Kluyveromyces lactis: one gene and its partners. The protein of the gene in region 7 interacts with the protein of the main gene of each other region in a pairwise test. Links are inferred from orthologs where the notes say so. Each region holds a gene or a part of one and is shown on either strand. Other genes may lie near its edges.

What was found.
Region 1: the proteins of PRP19 (region 7) and URN1 interact in binary tests that used the Saccharomyces cerevisiae proteins (3 or more experiments, as listed by UniProt). The link is inferred for Kluyveromyces lactis from reciprocal best matches to the Saccharomyces cerevisiae genes PRP19 and URN1.
Region 2: the proteins of PRP19 (region 7) and ISY1 interact in binary tests that used the Saccharomyces cerevisiae proteins (3 or more experiments, as listed by UniProt). The link is inferred for Kluyveromyces lactis from reciprocal best matches to the Saccharomyces cerevisiae genes PRP19 and ISY1.
Region 3: the proteins of PRP19 (region 7) and CDC40 interact in binary tests that used the Saccharomyces cerevisiae proteins (3 or more experiments, as listed by UniProt). The link is inferred for Kluyveromyces lactis from reciprocal best matches to the Saccharomyces cerevisiae genes PRP19 and CDC40.
Region 4: the proteins of PRP19 (region 7) and SYF2 interact in binary tests that used the Saccharomyces cerevisiae proteins (3 or more experiments, as listed by UniProt). The link is inferred for Kluyveromyces lactis from reciprocal best matches to the Saccharomyces cerevisiae genes PRP19 and SYF2.
Region 5: the proteins of PRP19 (region 7) and CLF1 interact in binary tests that used the Saccharomyces cerevisiae proteins (3 or more experiments, as listed by UniProt). The link is inferred for Kluyveromyces lactis from reciprocal best matches to the Saccharomyces cerevisiae genes PRP19 and CLF1.
Region 6: the proteins of PRP19 (region 7) and SYF1 interact in binary tests that used the Saccharomyces cerevisiae proteins (3 or more experiments, as listed by UniProt). The link is inferred for Kluyveromyces lactis from reciprocal best matches to the Saccharomyces cerevisiae genes PRP19 and SYF1.

Annotation. Positions count from the first base shown.
Region 1 is NC_006041.1:356,296-359,514, forward strand, and holds URN1 (Urn1p), read left to right. Parts: upstream 1-1,399; coding exon 1,400-2,707; downstream 2,708-3,219. Other genes in the region: PRE9 (proteasome core particle subunit alpha 3), read right to left, coding at 245-994; CCR4-NOT core subunit CAF130, read right to left, coding at 2,700-3,219. UniProt on the Saccharomyces cerevisiae protein: Component of the spliceosome involved in mRNA processing.
Region 2 is NC_006042.1:1,550,006-1,552,459, reverse strand, and holds ISY1 (Isy1p), read left to right. Parts: upstream 1-1,223; coding exon 1,224-1,937; downstream 1,938-2,454. Other genes in the region: GDA1 (guanosine diphosphatase), read right to left, coding at 1-882; GTA1 (Gta1p), read right to left, coding at 2,133-2,454. UniProt on the Saccharomyces cerevisiae protein: Involved in pre-mRNA splicing and cell cycle control.
Region 3 is NC_006041.1:1,891,109-1,894,331, forward strand, and holds CDC40 (Cdc40p), read left to right. Parts: upstream 1-1,415; coding exon 1,416-2,705; downstream 2,706-3,223. Other genes in the region: pre-rRNA-processing protein ESF1, read left to right, coding at 1-1,089; proteasome regulatory particle base subunit RPT5, read right to left, coding at 2,796-3,223. UniProt on the Saccharomyces cerevisiae protein: May function in the second step of pre-mRNA splicing. Regulatory protein involved in replication and mitotic spindle formation and/or maintenance. Required for initiation and completion of S-phase and for initiation and completion of DNA replication.
Region 4 is NC_006041.1:412,769-415,245, reverse strand, and holds SYF2 (Syf2p), read left to right. Parts: upstream 1-1,303; coding exon 1,304-1,969; downstream 1,970-2,477. Other genes in the region: UTP8 (Utp8p), read right to left, coding at 1-1,063; KLLA0_E04621g (uncharacterized protein), read right to left, coding at 2,068-2,477.
Region 5 is NC_006042.1:1,644,404-1,648,152, forward strand, and holds CLF1 (Clf1p), read left to right. Parts: upstream 1-1,188; coding exon 1,189-3,243; downstream 3,244-3,749. Other genes in the region: MTQ2 (S-adenosylmethionine-dependent methyltransferase), read right to left, coding at 1-242; NEDD8 family protein RUB1, read left to right, coding at 500-648, 750-834; mRNA splicing protein MSL5, read right to left, coding at 3,345-3,749. UniProt on the Saccharomyces cerevisiae protein: Involved in pre-mRNA splicing and cell cycle progression. Required for the spliceosome assembly by promoting the functional integration of the U4/U6.U5 tri-snRNP particle into the U1-, U2-dependent pre-spliceosome.
Region 6 is NC_006037.1:178,042-182,089, reverse strand, and holds SYF1 (mRNA splicing protein SYF1), read left to right. Parts: upstream 1-1,235; coding exon 1,236-3,632; downstream 3,633-4,048. Other genes in the region: VMA8 (H(+)-transporting V1 sector ATPase subunit D), read right to left, coding at 1-816; AFG1 (Afg1p), read right to left, coding at 3,752-4,048. UniProt on the Saccharomyces cerevisiae protein: Involved in pre-mRNA splicing and cell cycle control.
Region 7 is NC_006040.1:327,146-330,356, reverse strand, and holds PRP19 (E3 ubiquitin-protein ligase PRP19), read right to left. Parts: upstream 2,000-3,211; coding exon 524-1,999; downstream 1-523. Other genes in the region: KLLA0_D03905g (glutathione peroxidase), read left to right, coding at 1-229; OCA5 (Oca5p), read right to left, coding at 2,384-3,211. UniProt on the Saccharomyces cerevisiae protein: Probable ubiquitin-protein ligase involved in pre-mRNA splicing.

The DNA of each region.
Region 1 (3,219 bases), on a different chromosome or scaffold from region 7:
ACTAGCTACGAGTTTTCTTTAATTTGTTTTATCCTTTTTCTCAACATTGCATGCGCGAATAGTATTTTAACAACAAAAAGCTTCAATTCTTTAATTAATTGTAAAGGTAAAGACGTTTTCGACAGTAGACTGATTGAATGATGATTACATTCTAAAACACATACGTACTTATATATGGCAGTGAGGATAAAGGCAGTTAATGTCCAGTAGTTGAACACATGTGTTGGATGACTTGTCGTTATCGTTAATCATCATCCTTCTTTACTATTTCGGTTTTTTCCAATAGTGTAGCGATCTCTGTTGGTTTATAGATCTTCTGGTATATCTTCCCCTCGGCATCCTTGCTGATGGTAGCGAATTCTAATCTTTCGTGGGTCAACACACTTGAATCTGTAGTCTTAGATAGAGTCTTTAGGGCTAGTTCGATGGCCCCATCCAGAGTGATATCGTCTTTATAATCCATTTGTAGTAAAGTTTGAGCAGCTTGTGTGTTGGCACCAACAGAGATGGCTTTCCAACCGGAATAGTTACCAGATGGGTTCGAGGTATACAACTGGTACCCGTATCTGTCATCATAACCAGCATAAATGAACGAAACACCAAATGGTCTCAAACCACCATGCTGAGTATACCCTTGCTTCAAATCGGATAACCTTCTTACTAACATTTCAACAGGTATTTCCTCATTATACGTCTTCAAATAGCTCTGAGCCTGTACTCTGGCTGTATTTATTAGAATCTCAGCATCTGCAGTTAACCCAGCTACTGCAACCGTAATATTATCGTTCAACTTGTACAATTTCTCACTTGAAGTATCTTGTTCTAATAGTTTCGATGTCACTTTTCTTTCAGCTGCTAATACAATACCTTGTTCAGTCATGATACCAATCGCAGTACCAGCATGTGAAATGGATTCTAAAGCGTATTCAACCTGGTATAATCTTCCCTCTGGCGAGAAAATGGTTGTTCTCGAATCGTATCTTCTGGACCCCATCTGTTCTGACTTCTTAGTTGTTCTTTATATTCTCACAGACCAATTACCTGTACGCTCACAGAAATGCTCTTGCTGCTACTTTCGATGAACTTTAGCTACAAGTTTAACTATCTGGTTGAATCCAATTGCTGTTCAATCTCTAGTTTCAAAGGTTTGCCACTGGATTTCTTCTAACTTTGATTGTATTTTATTTCATTTTAAAGGTCGACATTAAAAAAAAAATAAAAGAACGAACCTTTGTTTAACGGCTCTTCAATGGATTTTCTTAGTGAGAACAACCCAGTGTACGAGGTGGAAGACCTGTCTCAGAGATGTTATTTGCATTGCTGCACCTGTCTGTGAAAGTAAAGTTTTAAAGTTTTAACTAAATTGGCGGAGAGCCCATTGTTCCTATCTGAATCAAGTATGAGCGAATGGAAGCGATTTAAAGATCCTTCGGGGAATTTCTACTACTTCAATACGAGGTCCAAGGTATCCACAAAGGAAAAACCAAAAGAGTTCGGAAGCCAGCAAGCTGGTATGAAGGAATTGAGAGTGCCAGTGTTCTGTTTACCTCTACGAAACTACTGGAACCTAGTGATTTGTAAAGATGGTTCCAAATTCTTTCACAACGATGAATCTAATGTGTCCCAATTCAAACTGGCGGATGATGAGAGTAAAGCTTTGTTGGATAAAGTTGATACATCTCTTCTTGCATTGCTTATAGGTGTAGCACGAGGGTTCAATCTTCGAAATGACCGTGACGTTTATGGAGAGATCAGAGATGTTTTACAAGCAAAACTCGACAGTAACGACAAAGAACAAAACGATATCACTGAGGAGAGACCACAAGTAACAAATTCTAACGTGGACACGGAAGATAAATCCGAATCGAGTAATATTTTAGTTTCTGGTTACTCTTCCTCATCAGATGATTCTGGTGAAGAATCAGAGGTAGAAGAAAAGAATGATCCATCTTCTATAGATGTTAAAGAAGAGGATACGCTACCGTCGTTGAATAACACGGAAATAGAATCTAAGTTCATTCAATTACTTAATGAAATTCAACTAGATCCTTACTCAACTTGGTCGATCCAAGCAAAGCGGATAATGCATGATCCACGCTATTATTTGATTACTTCTAATGACAAACGGGATGAACTATTTCAAACGTGGTGCTCTCAACAGCTCAATAATTCAAATAATGATAATGAAAATAATGCACAAGATTCAGCTGAAAACTCAGATGAAGAAGATTCAGACGTTACTCTAGAACCAACAAAGTATCACTACTTGGCACACATTATTTCAAAAGCGAATATCACTCCTGAAACCCTATTCTCTAATATCAAGAAAGAAAATAAATCTCTTTTCAAAGAACTGGAAATCAATAAAACTCTTACCAAGAAAGAACAAGAACAGTTTGCTTCCAAGGTAATCGCCTATTACAAAAGAATGGATAACCTACAGCGCACTGAATTATTCAAAAAGATGATGAAAAATAAACTTCGGTTTCCTCCGATATCGGAAAAGTTATCGCAGTTGATGCTAGAAGAGACACCGTCGGACTCTTTTAAGTTAGAAACTCAACTACTTCAATTGGAGAACGCGCTACTTATTCTTGATAATCTTCAAAATTCCTACATGCAAAATGAAATTATGTACTATATTCTGGGTATCAAAGACAAACTAGCCGCTCTGAAAGAAATACTACGAGATCAGTATTCTAAATAGACATTTCATCACACTCTTCCTCTGCTTCTTGCTGCCGAGCTTCTAATATGTCTAAGTAATCAATATCAAAGACCGCCAAAAATTCTCTATGCAATGATTGATGCGTTCTGATGTCCAGTGGCAGAATATGATCGTGGTACTCCAAAGTTATCCTTCCGTGAATAGGAGTTCCTTCAGTCAAAGGATATTTCTGAAGAAGGTGACGGAAAACTTTGTCAACAGGCTGTCCATCAAGAGATTGAACTGGTAGCATTCTGGAGAACCTTTCAGACATAATGGACGTCTTATCACCATTCTCAATGCTTGTATCAGTCTCCGTATCCCATCTGTCATCTATGTCACTTAGTTTTAATTTATCAAAATCTACTGGCAAAAGCTGATCATCAGGGTCAGTATTTGGCCGATCATCTAACCCCTCGGTCCCTAGATCAAGAACTTTCCCTAAAGCCTTCGATTTCAAAAGAGCATACATGGAACATGCTTCAGCAGAAAACGTCGACCATTGCATCAAA
Region 2 (2,454 bases), on a different chromosome or scaffold from region 7:
ATATCCCAAATGAGAAAATTGATATAGAGTATAATCATGACCACCGAAACTTAGCTCGTATTTATGTTCACCATCAACCATCTTTTCATTAGGAGGGAAACTTGGCTCGAACACAATTTGAGTAGAACCACCACCAAGATCGAAAACAGCTGCCGTTGGTAATTTAGAACCAGCGCCAATATTACCCAACAGATAGTTTGCAGTGACCCAAGCGTAGACACCTTCTTCCTCACCATCCATAATAGAAACACCATCTCCATCGACCACTGGGAATGGATAATCCTGTTCCAAATGTTTACGAACTTGTGCCAAGATCTTTGAAGATTTTTCATCACCCAACATTCTCAAACCTGCGGTTGCCTTAACTGCAACAGGCGTACAATTTCTCTTATCCTTTGGAACCGCATCCATAGCAATTTTCAATAAAGGATCCAAGGACTTAGCGGCTCCCACAGCATCGATATCGAAACTAGATAGACCAGGCTTCAACATCTCGAAAGTTTCATTAATCAAAGTTGGTGGTTGGGTACAAACGTCAAATTCATACACATGTACACGACTGCCAGTAGAACCGGCATCAATCATAACCACGTACTTATGACCCTCAGTACACTGAGATTTGGAAAGGGAATTGGAACCAGATTCCAAATTCTGGGATGTGTGGTCTTTGGCTGTTTGCTTTTGTGAATCCTCATTGATATTTTGACTGATTGGTGAAGAAGCACCAGGAACTTTTAGCCCATCTGGTGTGTCGACTTTATTGGAGTTCGCCAATGAACCAACTTGTGGAGATGCTGACGACCTTAGCAAAAGAAGCAACATCAAAGCAGTTAAGGCCCCGATGAGGAACCTATAGTTCCTAACCACAGAATTGATGTGCATCTTTTTTTTTGATTTTAGTTATGATTCAGATTATTCTCGCCGTAGAAACCAGCAAATGAACACAGCTATAAACCCTGAATATTTGGAGTGACCAACGAAAGCTTTCTAGTAGATCAGATCGCGTTGCCCACGGAATTTATAGCACTGTTTAATCTGTAACTATCTTGTCGTCTTCTATCTGTATAGATTTCATGTTATTATGTTTTTTTTATGTTGACAGATATTAAGAAAAGATGAAAGGACATGAAATAAAACTACAAGAACCAATCCCAAAGAAGAAAACCAGAGAGTTAAATCGATGATTATACGGGATATCGAGGTAAAGAAAGGGCGAAGTAACGATGAGTCGTAACGTGAATAAAGCGAACTCTGTTCTCGTGCGATACCAGGAGCTACAGGCTGCCGAAACCGGTGGTTATCAGGATTTTTCGCGGTTGAAAAGACCTACCAGGATCAATAAGGTAACGAAGTTGGATGAAGCACTTCGATGGAGAAACGAGCTTGTGAAGGAGATAGGTCAACGTGTGACACAGATTCATGATCCATCGTTAAACGAGTCTCAAATCACGGAAATAAACGATGAACTCAATAAACTATTCCAGGAGAAGGGCAGATGGGATTTCCATATCAGAAATAAGTTAAAGGGTCCAGATTTGAAGAAGAGGAAGCAGTTAAATACCACAGGCGGAACCCTCATAGATGGGAAAAGGTATTTCGGTAGAGCTTTAGAATTACCAGAGGTTCAAAAATTATTGAGGGAATCCAAGGAACAAAGAGAGAAGGAAAGAAGTGGGAAGGAAAAGAAAGCGGAGTTGCAGAGGAAAATCAAACGATGGGAAAGTACATTGAAAGACGACTATTTTGTAGGAAATAACAGTGATGAACTTCTTGAATATGAGAAGAAACGTACTGGCTCACTTCGATCAACTATTCATTCTTCTGATCGGGACCCTTCTTTTGTGATACCAAATTTTGACGTTCCATCCTTAAAAGATGTCGAACTTTGGTTGGTGCAAAGAAGAAAGAATGAGTTAAAGAAGCAACTCGGGTTGTAGTAATCGGAGCTACGAGAAGTTAGGCTTTAGTATATAAGGGGAATGATATTTATCATAGTTGTACTATATACGCTTTTAATGATTGCCTCTCATATCCACAGCATGACGTTTTATTCTATTCTTATGAATGAAAATGATGATACCAACCAAAGATTAGTAAGTTATAATAATATTGTCAACTGGCTGGTTGAAGGTTTAACTAGCCTGTGAGTCATGACTTGGTAATTTAAACAACTGTGTCCCTCTGGCAAACAGTTTAGACATTCGACGAGTTGAACTTTCCTTTGGTCTCTCTGTTGCAGGTTCGCTAGGTATTTCGACAGGCTGGTTAAACACCCACGATTTCTGCTGACTATCAGTTCTCACATGGTTGGAAGAATGTGGTGAAGCAACAGTGCTGTCATTCCAGATGCTGTGGAAGGATGGCGAAAATGCCGTATCAGGCACAGAATGCATGCTTTTAGAAGGAATTACCATCGGTGATGATGCTGGACCATTGTTCAGTGCTGACTGGAAA
Region 3 (3,223 bases), on a different chromosome or scaffold from region 7:
GTGGTTTACTGCAGCGACATTAGGACAGCCGAATCAATCTATCAAAACTGTGATGGCACAGAATATGAATCTACAGCCAATGTCTTTGATTTAAGGTATGTGCCTGATGGTATGGAAATGGATGATGATCCTCGTGATGAATGTACCTCGCTTCCAAAAAATTACAAGCCGGCACAATTCAGTACAGATGCCCTTCAGCATTCCAAGGTAAAGCTTACATGGGATGAAACTCCTGCAGACCGTGTGGAAATATCTAAAAGAGCATTCACTCAAAAAGAAATTGAAGAAATGGACTTTAAAGCTTATTTAGCCTCCGATAGTGAAGAATCTGAAGTTGAGCATGATGATCAAGTTAAAAATAAACTCAAGGCTTTAGTAATGGATTCCGTAAAAGTGGGGCAAAAGTCACTATTTGATCAAAAGGAAGATGAAGACGATAATGAGGCTGATATGGAAATAACTTTCACTCCAGGCCTGGATGAGTCTGGCCAACAAGATACCAATGATAACGAAGAGGAAAGCACCATTGATAAGATTAGACGTAAAGAAAAAGAAAGACGTAAGAAGAGAAAGGACAGAGTCAAGGAGCTTAAGAAGGAATCAGAAGCCAAATTAAAGGAGAACCTTAAGAAGAAGAAAGATACTTCTCACAGCATCGATGACGATAAGAAAAAGGGAGAGTTAGAGCTCTTAATGCTAGATGAAAATGAGGGTGAATCAACAATTAACAACAAGGCACACTTCAACATGAATGAGATTCTCAAATCTGAGAAGGAAAAATCCAAAAAGGCCAAGTATCAAAACAAGGAGAAGATTGTGGATGATGAATTCACTCCAGACGTTAATGATCCAAGATTTAAAGAGGTCTTTGAAGATCACGATTTCGCGATTGATCCTACTCAACCAGAGTTCAAGAAGACACCAGCTATGGAGAAGATTTTAAAGGAACGTACAGTACGTTCAAGCAAAAAATCTAGGGGCAAAAAGCGTAACCACGAAATTGCAAATACTGAACATAGTAAAGACATAAATAAGATCGGCGGTTTAGTTGAAAAACTTAAGGCCAAGAACAAAAGAACAAAACACTAATTTGCAAACTTGTGGACACTTTATATCAACCCAAAGACGTCCACATCTTATATGTATATATTCAGCATTTGATTAAAGCATAAATACATCATTTCACTTAATCATGCGACTGTATCATGGCATGGTCTGTAACTTTAAGTCATTTCCTTATTTATCCAGATTTGTACGTCATATTCTGTGTGTGAACAAAAAGAAAAAGTGCACATTATCACATTATATGAAATAGGTTCATCTTTCTAAAGATTATCTAAAATTGTAGGTAATACACGGACAAACCGATAAACTTACTAGATAGACTCTGCCACTGCCATAATATCCAGGGAATAATGGGGCTGGTACAGGGTTATGAAAGTGAGAGTAGTGATGATGGCTCATCTGTAGCTGTGCCTAAGAGATCGTTAAAAACATCAAAGGCTGAATTGAAGTCCAAAAGACTTAGGAGGAACGGGAAAGGACCATGGGCAAAATGGCAAGGATCTAGTGACGATGAGATCGAACAATTATCAAAGGATTCAAATGCTTCTAATTCCTTAGATTTAGGTGGTGATGAGGATGCAGTGGCATCACAATCACTTGAAAGAACGAAATTTGTAGGCAGTACTGAAAAAGACTATCTGGGAAGATGCATTTTACACCCCCCAGTAGATATTCCATTAGAATTCAAGAAAGAACCACTATCATTCAGGTGCTTCCTTCCGAAAACCAAGATAGCAGAATACTATGGGCATAAGAATGGTACTACATCATTACGATTCATACCGAAAACAGGACATCTCTTACTTTCAGGCGGTAACGACAACATAATAAAACTATGGGACTTTTATCATGAGAGAGAACTATTAAGAACGTATGAAGGTCACTCTATGACTATAAAGGATTTGAACTTTACAGATAATGGACATTCTTTTGCCAGTGCATCATTTGATAAATGGGTTAAGATCTGGAACACCGAAAAAGGTATAATTGATAAAAGATTGCGTTTCAACTCTGTACCGAACTGTATTACATTCCACCCAAAAGACAAGAACCAACTAGTGGTAGGATTATCCAACTCCGAAATACGGCACTATGACTTGAGGCTATCAGAAAACCATGGGGAAGTACAGAAATATGATCATCATCAGGGTTCTATTTTGGCACTAAAGTACTTCCCTGATGGTAAGAAGTTAATCTCGTCGTCAGAAGATAAAACGGTCAGAATTTGGGAGAACCGAATCAATATTCCTATTAAACAAATCAGTGGCACAGCACAACATTCTATGCCATGGATCGATATTAATCCACAGGGTCAGTCTTTCTGTACACAAAGTATGGACAACACCATCTATACGTACTCAATGTTACCAAAGTATAAAAGACACCCAAACAAGACATTCAAAGGTCATAATACTACAGGTTATGGTATTCATTTTGCATTTTCTCCTGATGGCCAATACATTGCATCTGGAGACTCTAAAGGTCAGACGTTCATCTGGGATTGGAAAACTACCAAATTGTTAAAGAAATTTAAGCCATTTTCAAATAACCTGCCAGTAACCTGTATTGAATGGAATCCTCAAGAGACAAGTAAGTTATGTTGCGCTGGTAATACCGGAAAAATTGCCATTCTGGACTAATGAAGAATTGAGATTCTTTGAGACATTATTCTTGGTTTCGGCACAACCTTCGATAAGGTTATGTAGATATACTTAATGATTACATATAAATCATGCATAAAAGGAAACGGATTTAGACTTTCTTGCCTGTACTTCACCGATAGCCTCAACGAAATCTTCGTGCTTGATTGTTGATTGAGCGTTTCTTAATGCGATCATACCAGCTTCGACACTAACGGCTTTCAATTGAGCACCATTGAATTCATCTGTAGATCTAGCGAGTTCTTGCCAATTGATAGAATCATCAGTTGTCATTTTTCTGGAATGAATCTGTAGAATTTGAGCTCTTGCATCTTCTGTAGGGAGTGGGAATTCTATTTTTCTATCAAGTCTACCAGATCTTAATAAGGCCGGATCTAGAACATCAACACGATTGGTAGCAGCCAACACCTTAACCCGATCATCAGAGCCAAATCCATCCAATTGATTTAGCAACTCTAACATTGTTCTTTGTACTTCTCTATCACCAGATTTTTCGG
Region 4 (2,477 bases), on a different chromosome or scaffold from region 7:
CAACATCAATGTTAATAACATCCAAGTAACTCGTAGGGTTAGCACCGTTTTTAGTTGTAACATCTAATGCTATAGTTTTTCTATTGTCTTCAGAGTTTTCTTGAACAACTGCAGTAGAGAGTAGTTGAATAGCTTTGATGTTCTGTAAATCCTTTTGGAATAGTATAGCATTGTATAACAAATCCACAAGATATATGGTATTATCAGCAGTCAACAATACACGGTTTGAAGAAACTGGTTTGATGGATACAACTGCATCCTTGGAAATGAAAGGTAGCTGAATGCTAGTTTGTAGTTGCAAATGTGGTAACTGATAGATTGATAATTCATTTGAGTTCTTTAAAACATATAATTTCCCGAACTCAAAACACAACTTTGCATTCTCTAAAGTGTAATTTTCTAGTATGATAGAATTTAGTTCAATACATGAGACGGACTCACTCCTAACTTGGAAAAGTTTGTAACAGATTTTCTCATCACTTAGTTGGCATAACACGAAAAAGAAATCGTTTCCCTGCCCATCTTGGAAGAATTGAACAAATCTGATATCATCATAAGATATATCAATAGTATTTGAAAGTTTCAATTCATAATCAAATGTTTGAATCAGTCCATTCCTTAAGATAACGAGAACTTTCTCTGCTTTAGAATAGATCTTAATGCTAACGACTTCAGATTTTAGTTTATATTTGAACTGAGATGTGATTTCAGCATTTGAAGATGACACGGCATCTTGAATCATCGGCTTAGTAGCCAAGTGTAAATGTGATACCTTTCTAGCTTCCAATCCGTAACACCAGACTTCTGTATTGGCTGCATCTTCTACCACGTCACATGCAGTAACAATGTTCGTAGAGGGGATTGGCAAGTTAAAAACCAGCTTCGGGGTTGGATTAATCAAGTATTGTGATATACTGGAACCTGATATACCAATATTCACTTTATTGGCTGATGGTGAAAGATTATCAACAACTTGTAAGTAGTCTGTTTGATTCGCATAATTATTCAATGATGGAATCTTAGGTAGAGCAGAGAGCCTAAAAGGCTGTGAGATGGATGCCATTTTCTCAATATCTTTCGATAAATAATATCAAAGCAAACTGTATTGAACACAGGATATTTGATACTTCACCTCGTCCTTTCAAGAGCAGCGGTTGAGTGTATCTTTGCACTTACAGCTCATCGCATCTCATCGCATCTCATCTCTTCTTCTGAGTACTTCAAATTTTTCAAACTTTACTTTTGGGAGTCAGTCCGGGTAATATATAGTGTCGAAATGCAAACAGAAACAAGATGAGATGCGATGAATATACTCAGATATCTTCCAGGTGACAGAAAGTGTAGCCCTTATTTGAATGCCACAAATCACATTGTAAACTGGACACAGGCTGATAATAAATATTCGAAGATGAATGATCTAATGGAAATTGAAAAAAAGTTGAAGAGTTTGCGGAAACAAAAAGTGGAAGTAAGTATAAGGAATAAGAAGGCCATAATAGCTGAAGAGAAGAAAAACTCTGAAAGAAGAGTATACAGTATGGCTGACGATGGCGAAGATAAAGCTAGAAGTAACAAAAGCGAACCAGAAGATCCGATAAAATTGGCAAACTACTCAATACGCGAATATGAAAAATGGGAAGCTAAGACACAGAATTCAAGACATAATAAAAGCGTGATGGGGGACTTCCAAACTATAGCAAAGAACAGCTACAAGAAGGAAGTAGATGCGCTTCCGAAGGATATATCACATCCGTTGAAAGGTGGAATAACTGAGGATGGGAAGGTTCAAGTAGAAGATAATCCTGAACTAGTAGAAAAAATGGTGAATGATTTGAACGAACGATCAAAGAAAAGGTATATGGTACGGAAACAAAAACTAGATAAACAAAATAAGATCAATTTGGATGATGGATTTATTAATGACAAGAATAAACGGTTTAATGCAAAATTGAATAGCGAGTTCAAATAGGCATGGGAAAATAGGTATATTGGGCATTTACATATGAGATATTTACGATTGATTATGAATAATTATTTTATTTTAACGATATATAGAGGTGGATTTCTTCATTTGTCTTCAGAATCTAGTGAGTTAAGGACTTCTAGATCTTCTTCTAAGCTCTTGACACATTGCTTGTAATGGATCAATTGGAAATTATGGAACAACTTAACCAAAGAAATGATCTCAGAACTATCTGTAAGTTCTCCCAAGAATTCCACAGTTTCTGAGGTTGCAGACACGAACTGATCTTCTAATCGTTCGAAAAGCTTAGAATCAGGATCTTCTTCTGTCTTTGCCATATCAACTGGTTCCTCATTGGTTTTCTTTTCGGGGGTTTCAGGGGTTTCAGTTGCGACCTTTTTTTCAGCTTCCTCAGAGGATGCTACAACCTCTTTTTCCTGCAGCTTCAATTTAATTTCATGACGTAAAGTATCAAAGTTCAATCTTGCATCTTGAACCTTAGCGCGCAATTCGT
Region 5 (3,749 bases), on a different chromosome or scaffold from region 7:
GCCCAAGGGTTCAAATCAGTTGCCAAATAAAGTCCATTGGCGTTTGGTATACCATTTTGCATAAGAAACGTAGAGACTATCCCAGAACCAGAACCAATTTCTATAGTCAATGGTACTGCGTCATTGAACCTGTTATTCAACCAACTCAGATCAGCTTCTAATGCATCTAATAAAAGAAAAGAGTCCTCGCTTGGCTCGTATACTTTATTATAATCATAAGAGACGTATGGTGTAGCTAGCATCGCCCTGTTATCCTAAGCCCTGATGAGCTATAGCTCGCATCAATATCTGTTCTGCACCTGTATCTTTTCAAACATGGAAGTCATCGCATATATAATATTGTATTTGAAAAGTTGATATTGAACAATAACGTATGCAAAAGGTCATCTAAAAGAAAGTAATTAAATTGAAGCTTAACAACTAGTCTACTGTTTGATACAACTATTAATCACCATTTTCAGAGAATCGACAATCAGTTGCTTGTTTGTGGTTGAGAAAGATGCAATTAAAGGTCAAGACATTAACAGGGAAGGAAATCTCCGTAGATGTTCAAAGTTCAGAAACGGTCTATCATATCAAAGAGCTATTAGAAGAAAAAGAGGGTATTCCACCATCACAGCAGAAGTTGATCTTCCAGGGCAAACAAATGTATGTTAATTAACTGATAATTCAGAACTGAGAAGAGTTTGATATCAAATTAATGTAGGGACTCTTTTACTAACTAGTAAGTAATGCTATCTTTAAATCAGAGATGATAACGCAACAATCGGCAGTGCCGACTTGCAAGATGGATCTCTTTTACATCTTGTTCTAACTTTAAGAGGCGGTTGTTGAGAGCCATGTGTCATTGCATTGCGAAACCTCAAGATACGTATGTGTATAAGTATTTTGCAGATAAATACCTGGAGGAATTACTCTGCATTTAATAAAACGACTATAATTATTGGAAGCTAACACTATGAATGACATAATTTACATTTACACGACCGTCCAATTATCAAACAAAGGAAGGATGTAACACATGCTTGTTGCTTTTCCTTGTATGCATGAATGAACCTTATAAATACATAATGATTCAGATATCAAATTTAGTGCGAACATTATAATTGTAGAAACAGATGAACTTAACGACAACGATGCAAACAAAAGTAAGAAAAACACGGATAACTTACCTGACTATACTGTAACATGGGTGACAATAGTTTATCCAATGAAGCCATCACTGCCGATAATATTTTGAAGGATGCCTTTAGCCAAAAGAAGCAGATTGCAGCTACTACGAAGGCAGATATATTAGATTTGGAAGAACTGAAAGACTGGCAACGAAGGAAAAGAACAGAGTATGAGACAGTTTTGAAAAGAAATAGGTTAGACCTTCGTCAATGGATGAGGTATGCTCAATTTGAATTTGATCAGAAAGATATACGAAGAGCTAGGTCCATTTATGAACGCGCTCTTCTTGTTGATCATGGGTTTATTCCACTATGGATTCAATACATCGACAGTGAAATCAAATGGAAAAATATCAACCATGCAAGGAACTTGTTAGACAGAGCAACAAACGCTCTTCCTCGTGTTGATAAGCTCTGGTTCAAATATCTTTTATTGGAAGAATCTTTGGGAAATCAGGGTATTGTACGAGGCATTTATACAAGATGGTGTTCATTTGAACCTGGTCCCGATGCATGGGACTCCTTCATCGAGTTCGAAACAAGGTGCTTGAATTTTGAAAATGTCAGGAACATTTACTCGAAGTTTGTTCTAGTCCATCCTCAAATAGATACCTGGTTGAAATGGGTTCGTTTTGAACAAACTCATGGAGATATATCATCCGTACGAACAGTGTTCTCATTCGCGCTAGACACACTCACAAGTTTCAGCGGAACACCACTGGTAGATATTGAACGAGTTATTGGTAGCTTCGCTTCCTGGGAAGCTTCTCAGGGAGAGTATGAACGATCTAGAACGTTATACCGACTAGCAGTTGAAAGATGGCCAATTTCTGAAGCATTAAAGGAACAGCAGATTCAGTTCGAGAAGAAGTTCGGCTCTTCGAAAAATATGGAGGACATAGTAATCGCTAAAAGGAAAGCCGAGTACGAGCAATATCTAAAATCAGATCCCTATCATTATTCTACTTGGTGGGTCTATATTGACCTGGTTGAGGAAAAATATCAAGAGCAATTGACATCAGCTTTCCAGTCGTTCATTGAATTGGCAAAGCCGAAGTCCCTGGTAAAGGATTCGAGCTGGAAGAGGTACATAAGAATCTGCGTACGATACTTGGTCTATCTAGAGCTCACCATTAATGATTTGCCTACGATACGCTCGGTTTATCAAGACATCCTCGACATCATTCCACATAAGAAGTTTACATTCGGTAAACTGTGGATAATGTATGCAGAATTCGAAATTAGGCAGAACAACTTGCTGAAAGCAAGAAAAATTCTGGGTGTGAGCTTAGGAAAGTCCCCCAAGCCAAAAGTGTTTAAATATTACATCAATTTGGAGATAAGGCTAAAAGAGTTTGATAGAGTGAGAAAGCTATACGAGAAATACATCGATTTCAATCCTAGTTCAGTGCAATCATGGTTGGATTATGCAGAATTAGAAGAAAATTTAGGAGATGAAGATAGATCAAGAGGGATCTATGATATCTCCATGAGCAATAATGTTGGATTATCTGAATCGGACCAGCTGATTGTCATTCAGCGCTATATCGCTTTTGAAACTGATGCAGCAGAATATGAAAAGGCTAGAGAGTTGTACGAGAAGTATTTGATTTTGAGTAGATATGACGTGAACATATGGATAAACCAGGCGCTTTTCGAGAGCACTATTCCAACTGAGACCCAACTAATAGCCTATCAACAATCTCATCAAGACGGGAATTTTGACGACGATGGCGAAGAGGAGTTCAGTTTTGAAATTACACCTGAGAATAAGCATCACACCAGGGCTATTTTTGAGAAGGCAATTTCATATTTCAAAGAACATAATGAAGATAAGAAACGCCAGCAAGTTTTACAATCTCTCCTGGAGTATGAGAAAGTTCATGGTAATCAAGAAACTTTGGAAAAGGTCAATGCTAGACAACCAAGTTTGGTTAGGGAAAAAGTTACTATCGATAACATTGAGCAAGAGTCATATAAATTGGATTTTCCGGACGATCGTGTTGCTCAACCTCCTATTGCTCGAAATCTTCTAGCTTTGGCAAAACAATGGGAGAAAAATTCCAGCTGATATGTAACTTTATATTCATATACAGATAATACAATTGTAGATTTAGAACACGCATTTAATCAGGTTGGCATATAGGCTATTGAGAAAAAATACGAATTGTATTAATTATTCGTTTCATTATCGGTAAAACTTTGTGGCAACTGGTTTGACGGTATCGAACTGGGTGTTGATATCGTAGAAGGGGTAAGCCCAGGTGCATTCATTGTCGGTACAGATCCTGGGGGCATTAATCCTGGAGGAACGTTGCCTGGTGCTGCTGCCAATCCTGGTGCTGCCAATCCTGGTGCTGCCAATCCTGGTGCTGCCAATCCTGGTGCTGCCAATCCTGGTGCTGCCAATCCTGGTGCTGCCAATCCTGGTGCTGCCATTCCTGGTGCTGCCATTCCTGGTGCTGCCATTCCGGGAGGAGATAAACCTGGGGGTGCCATTCCTGGAGTAGCAATATTTAAGTTTCCTTCAGTGATACCTATTCCAGACGTTGAATTTTCTGCAGCCAGAGATTCGGA
Region 6 (4,048 bases), on a different chromosome or scaffold from region 7:
TTCCTCTTGTTCGGTAATCAGAGCTTCTACTTGTGGGCCAGATTGTTCTTCTTGTTCTTGTGTGTCGGCAGCTTCTACGCCAGTTTTGGTCGCTTCTTGAGAATCTGGTTTACCTTCAGACTCAGCATTTGCTTCATCTAATTTCTTCTGCTTCATTTCAGCATCCAACTGAGCAGTTTGAATCTGTTTCTTTTCTTGCACTTTCTTCAATCTATAAAACTCTTCTCTATCCAATTCGTCTAGCTCGGAGTTGATATAAGCAATGGTGTTTTCCGTTCTTGGAATGATCACATGTTCAATGGCATTCACTCTACGGTTGGTAACTTTGATAACTTCGTCCAAGATAATGAAAGCCGTTTGTAACGAAGCCAATTCAACTAGTGTTTCAACAGCCCTTGAGTAAATTTCCTTAGCACGCTGAACTTGTTGACCACCACGACCTAGACCTGTCATTTTGAAGTCGTTGATGTTGGAGTCGATGAATGATTCAAATTGAGGCAAGTACACACCACTCACGTTTTCTTGCGTGGCCCTAACTTTGAATCTTGCATTGGCAACATTCTCTTGAACTTGGTACCCTATATTTTCACCTGTAGCATATGTGACCTCCGCCAAAGAGAACGCAGCTGTTTGCATCACTCTGCCCATCTTCTGCTTTGAATCATCTATTCTTTTAGTGATATCACGGAATCTCTTCGTTAATGCTTCAGACTTTCTCTTCAACAAAGAATAACCCTGATTAGCACCCTTTAACTTAGTCTTCATAAGACCCAAGGTCATACGAGTGGGGAAAACCTGTTCCCTATTACTAGACATTTTTCGATAAAATTCAAGATGCTAGGAGTGAAGTCGTTCCTTCCTTGCTGTAATATGTTATCAGTACGCTTAGTACCAAACTCACCTGATTGGTACAGTAGAAAAACAGTTCTTTTCAAAGAAAAAGCAAACGATTACAAGTAAATGTGTTCCAGGTTGGATACTTGTCAGTGCCAGCCTAATTGCAACGTTCTGCCCCAGCTGATATATGCCCCCCTTTTCTACCTTTCTTTCGTCAAATGATTGAATGTCTTATATTTCAGATATTTTGAAAATTGGTTAATTTCGAAATTTAGATATTATTTCATTTACGGTGATATGTCAAAACGTTTAATGAGATGAGTTACAATTAAAGCTCCATCTAAGGTAAAGTTAGTGCACTGTTTTTCCACCAGGTACTGCGAGAGACATATGTTTCGATGGAAATAGATAAATTTGTCAAGGAGGAAGATATTCCGTTTGAGTATGGTGTTGTTAGAGAAAGAGACAATGCTGTATCATGGTCGAGATATTTGGCAACTAAAAGATCAGCAGGCGATGAGTTGAATTTAGATTGGCTATACGAACGTTGTTTGAAGGAGATCAAGGACGACTGGCATCTATGGAAAGAGTTCTTGAAATGGAGGATAGAATTATTGAACGATTGTGATATTTTCAGGCACAAAGATGAATACAATAAGATATCGTTACTATTCGAACAGTGCTTAACATCATGTGGCAAAGTTGGGGATGCATGGATTATGTATATGGAATGGGTAATACAGTTTAAGGATTTGAAGAGGATTAGAGAACTGCTTGGAAAAGCGCTACGATCAATGTCGTGGGAGTACCATGAAGCAATATGGCGTGTTGTCATCGATTTCATTATCAATGAATTGTTAATAGACAACAAGAGGTATGAACTTTCTTTAGAGGATTCCATCTACTATTTTGTTCACGGAGAGCATTCGACGAATTTTGATACAGACCTCTGGTCTTCCTCAATCCTACAGAGATATTCACTTATTTGTGACGACATAGAGCCTTTATTGATCTACATTTTTAAGACTCATGATTGGAGCACGATCGTTCGAGTATTTGAAAAACATCTATCACCTAATTTAAAGCCATCTCAGACAAGTTTATTTGAACTTTACGTTAGTTACATCACTTCAATGATTCTTGTGGATAATTCAGCAGGGGTTGCTGCGGTAGTGGACCAATGTATCGAATTATTCCCTTTCAAGAAGGGTGAACTTAAGACATATTTGATATTTAACCTGATACGTCAAGGAAAAATAACGGAAGCTGAGCTGTACTTAGAGAAAGTTATAAGCGAAACTAAAGACATTATCGAATTTTCTGTATTATATGATTTTTGGATTCGTATGGAGGAGCTATTGACCCAAGAATTAATTCAAAAGATGAAAGACGATAATTCAGAAAAGCAACGGCTGTTCGCAAATATAAGACTACATGCCGACACTCTAACCTCATTAATAAAAAACCACACTATTAGATTAAACGACTTAGAATTGAGGCGAGAACCCAACAACATCAAATTGTGGCTAGAACGAGTGAAGCTTTTTGATACCATCTCTGATAAAGCTAAAGTTTATGCAGATGCTGTTCTTACCGTGGACTATAGACTTCAGACTACTCCAGGGCTATTAGGAGAATTATGGTGTCAATATTGCAGACTTTTTGAAGAGGATATTGAAAAATCCGAGGTCTTGCTGGACAAAGCCACTAACGTCCCTTTCAAATTTTTAGTAGATCTTGAAAATGTTTGGTTATATTGGTGTGAATACAGACTAAAAAGAAGCATTGACGATGCCATAAAAGTTTTGTCCGTTGTATTAGAAATACCAGATAATCATGAATTACTCCTACAAAAATTTGAGAAAGGAGAATCGCCAGCACAAGCAGCAATTTTCTCATCTAAACGCTTATGGGCAATGTACCTTGACTTATTGGAGGTCAAAGGAAACTATGGTACAGCTGTAAATGCGTATGAAACAGCAATACTCATCAAGGCAGCAACACCAGCCATGTTTATTAATTATGCGTTATTAAATGAATCTTCTGGCCATCAAGCAGAAGCTTTGGCTGTTTTCGAAAGGAGTGTTGAGATTTTTCCTCCAAGCGTATCGAAGTCTATTTGGGATATATATCTGGATGTGGCACTCAAAGCTGATATCACTAAAGAGCAAAAAAGAGATATTTTTGAATCTGCTATTAAGCTTGCAGCTTCAGGAGTGGCATGTGTTTCGTTCTTTGAAAAGTACAGCGACTTTGAGTTAAACCTTGGTTTCCACGAGAGAAGTGTCGAGATTTTGCACAAAGGAGCCAAGAATATTTCGGATCTTGAAAGTAAATGTACTTTATGGGAAGAATGCATCAATAGAAGTGAAAAACAATTGGACGTCAATCACACCAGAAAACTATATGAAGAATGTATAGAAACATTGCCCAATTCTAAAGCAATCAAGTTTCTACTTCCATTTGCTATCTTAGAAGAATCGCGTAATGAGGTTGCTCGTTGTAGAGCATTGTTAGACTACGGGAGCAAATTACTGAAGCCCGCACAGAATGAAGAACTTTGGGATTTCTGGAGGAATTTCGAAACTATGCACGGTACAAAAGACTCGTTCAAGAACATGCTAAAAGCACGTAGGTTCCTAGAGGACACAATGAAAGTAAATACAGAGGAAGTATCCAGACATGCAGATAGCATCGAATTTAGGGCGTCAACTGCGAAAATTAGTGGAAGCGGACCACCAAGCGCAGAAGATAAAGGATACTCAAATACGGCTGAAATTGATTTAGGTCTATAAAATGGATATATATTGATTAAAGTTGATAATGGCATATCGATCAATCTCTTATGTTTTGTTTTGGAAGATGTCGTATTGTCTTTCTTTGATGACGTGTAACATACAAAAACACTAGTATCTTACTGTTTTTCGACCCAATCAGTTGAACTCATGTGGGATAATCTACTTAGGGCTCTTGCAAATGCAAACCGTTCTTCATCTAATGCGAAAATCTGTGCTTTTTTGGCAATATCCTTAGAAAATCCGTGTTTACTGACCAATTCATCCTCTACTTCAGGTTCATCTTCATGTTTCATTTGATCTGCTGGTTTAAGCTCATAGTCGTTGACAATATCTTCTGGTTCCACGAATAGTGAGGTGAAGTCATCTGCACCAGTGGTAGCTAATTTACCACCGTTATCGTAAACTGCATCCAA
Region 7 (3,211 bases):
AATGAAGAAGTGTAAAGTGAATGGTGTCAATGCTCTTCCGCTATATAAGTACTTGAAAGATCAACAACCGCGAATGTTTGGGTTCACGTTCGTTAGATGGAATTTTGAGAAGTTTTTGATCGATCGCTCAGGGAGAGTCCATGGACGGTATTCCACGTTGACGAAACCGAAAAGTATGAAGGAAGACATCGAACAATTACTAAAACAAAAAAGCCAACTACAATCATGACTAGCAGATGGTAAAGAAGAGTTCTTCGGGGTAATCCCTTTTTCATATTCTGTAATGCCATCTTCTTTCCCGTTTATTCACTTGCAAGAAAAACACAAACACAGTTCGATATTTAAAGAGCATGATTTTCACTTCTTTTTACGATGAAATCACGTACATATATGGGGGCGAGTTCATACATGTTCATTTTTCGACGTATTATCGGATCATATATTTAACGACTCTCACCATCAAATCAGTGATTATTCTAATAATTACAATTTTTATACCTTATTTAGGACAAGTATCATATATCTACTTCAACTCATATGTTATGCATTTATTCTCCGAGATGACGTTCAAGAAATATCCTTGATCTATTTTTACCAATGTCATGGATTCTGCTGTATTTGTTTCGATCGGAAGAGTAGATTTTTCGACAAATGACTGTCCCTTAACATACTCATACCATTGTACTTGTGAATTACCCATGCTTACGAAAAAACCTTTAGCTGTATCGTCCAACTCCACACTGATGATATTCTCAGCGAAAGAAAGTGGTTCCATTGCCAAGGTGCCTGGATCCTTTCTTAAATCGTAAACATTCAAGTCAGAATCACCAAAGACAAACATCCAATAACCGTTCAAACCAAAGTCTACTCTTTTAGCTGGGAAGCCAGTTGAAAATTTAATCGGATCTTTTGTAGCAGCCAATAGGTTTATTACATATACACCTTCGTTTTGGTTACCAATAGCAAGAAGAGCTCCATCTTTATGATAATTCACAAATTGAACGGAATCGTTCAATTTAACTTGTGAGATGGTGAACAGTGCTTTTTTGGTAACTTCATACCCATATATTGTACCTCTTTCAGTTACGAATAAGAAGTAAGAATCCGATATTTGATGAGGATAAGCCATAAATATCACTGGCCCATCAGTTCCTTCCAAAACTTCTTCATACAACAAAGACTTTGTATGAAGGTCATACGCTGCTAATAGTCCCTGGGTGAAGGTGTATAGAACGTCTTTAAACTCCACCAGATATTCTGTGGCTTGTGACACATCAAGAATAGAATCTTGAGGTCCAAACACAAAAGCTTTGTCATTATCTTTTACAACAACAGATCTTTCATTAAGATTGACATGCTGATTTCTGCTAATCAAATCAATTTCAGAGAAATCTGTCGATTGAACGACTGAAACGTTGGAGAAGTGTTGTAGCTTTTTCTTAGACTTTTTGGAATTTGTCACGTACTCTTGAGATTTCGTCGATAATTCTGAAGTAAAGTCTGATAGAATTTGGTCTGAGTTCTGGAGTTTATCAATAGTTCCATCATTTTCGACATTCGAGGAAGTTATTGCCGATGTAAGTTCTGCTAATTCTTGCTTCAGCTGATCTCGCTCTACAAAAGCTTTTGCTGCCGCTGATGCAACAGCGTCAAACCTGTAAAGTGTATCACTGAGATTCTTTTTACAAACGTCTAACTGCTTCCTTAATTCGAAATTCTCGAGCATTACTGCATCCCATTCTTTCTGCAAAGTTGACAATAGACTTGGAATGCTATAGTTGTTTGCGATAGTAGACGAGCTCAATGATTCTGAAAGTGATATCTGCTGTGGAGTCGCATTGATTTCAACCAAATCTGTTTTTTGTAATGGATCATCCGTTATGGGATCTGTTCCTTTCTGTTCAATATACTGTTCGATTAGATGCTGTTCAAATATACATTTGGAATTAGGTGAAAGAACAGCTTTTATAGGTGGTTTCCCACTAATTGCACAGAACATAATTAGCGTACCTCAATTTAGCCAGTCCTTAAGTAGTTTCACCAGAAGTAAGCCCCAAGGTTCTCCTTTTTGAAGCCATTATCTAATTATGTATATCGGTGCTTCATCTTTCATGTAACATTTATGTTGGTTTTCTAATGTTAAATAAAAATGCTTTCGTTTCTCTTTTGAACATGCAAAAAAATACTGGATGAAGAAATGACTTTATTTAACAAATCAACTCACATCTTAGTTGGCTGGTTAGAACGCTCCAACAGGTTAGAATACAATCTGCAATATTCATAGAGCTCGAGATGTATATAGTATTTTTATATATATATATGCTAATTAAAGGAAAAGAAGATATACTACATACAAGAAAGACACAAATATAATGCTGATATATCATTCTTCTATGAATTCTTCCATTTCCTGCCAAGCCCAATTTCTCCAGATGTCTCCAGCCTGCTGGTAGATGTCATCAAACGAGTGTGCAGTCTTATCGTCAGTACCGACCTCTATCATCATATGATTTGAAGAACTTGGTCTAATTCCTGAAGCGTTGGATTCATCTGTGTCTGTCGAACTTCCACTAATGTCATCATCCTCGTACATCTTCTTGAAGTTGTAGTCATCGAATTTTGATATCAGTGGGACATTATTTAAGAACTCGGTGATCTCTGTTTCCTCAAACTCTAAAAGTTTAAATTCGTTATGTTGCATAATGGCAACATATATGAAAAGTAACTCCGCATGAGGGTTCAAGAGCGAATATGGAATCTCATTTTCTTGTGTTTCTGTAGTATGACCATCGTCCCCATATTTATTTCTTCGTATCAATTCCCGAATGACATCTTCATCTTGGTTCAATCCATTTTGACCGAGCCTTAACGACATCAAATCTGGGAACCAAAACTCATCATGTTCACATTTGCAAATCTTATGGAAAATCTCTGAACTCAGTTTCAATTCAGGTGGATAAATGCTTTCAAATGATTTATGGTTGTACTCGAGATAATAGTTGATTGATTCAGGACGTGGTCTCCATCCGAGCAACACATCCCATACTCTTCCTCTATCCTGACGATGCAACACTCTGCAACCACAACATTTGATCCACCAATACAACCAAGTAGCCTTCTTGGAACCTTGCAAAGCGCCTTCATCAGTGATGGGTTGATACAGTTCGGGTAACGTCTTGGCGAAAACCTTGAAGAACAATTGCGATTGTTG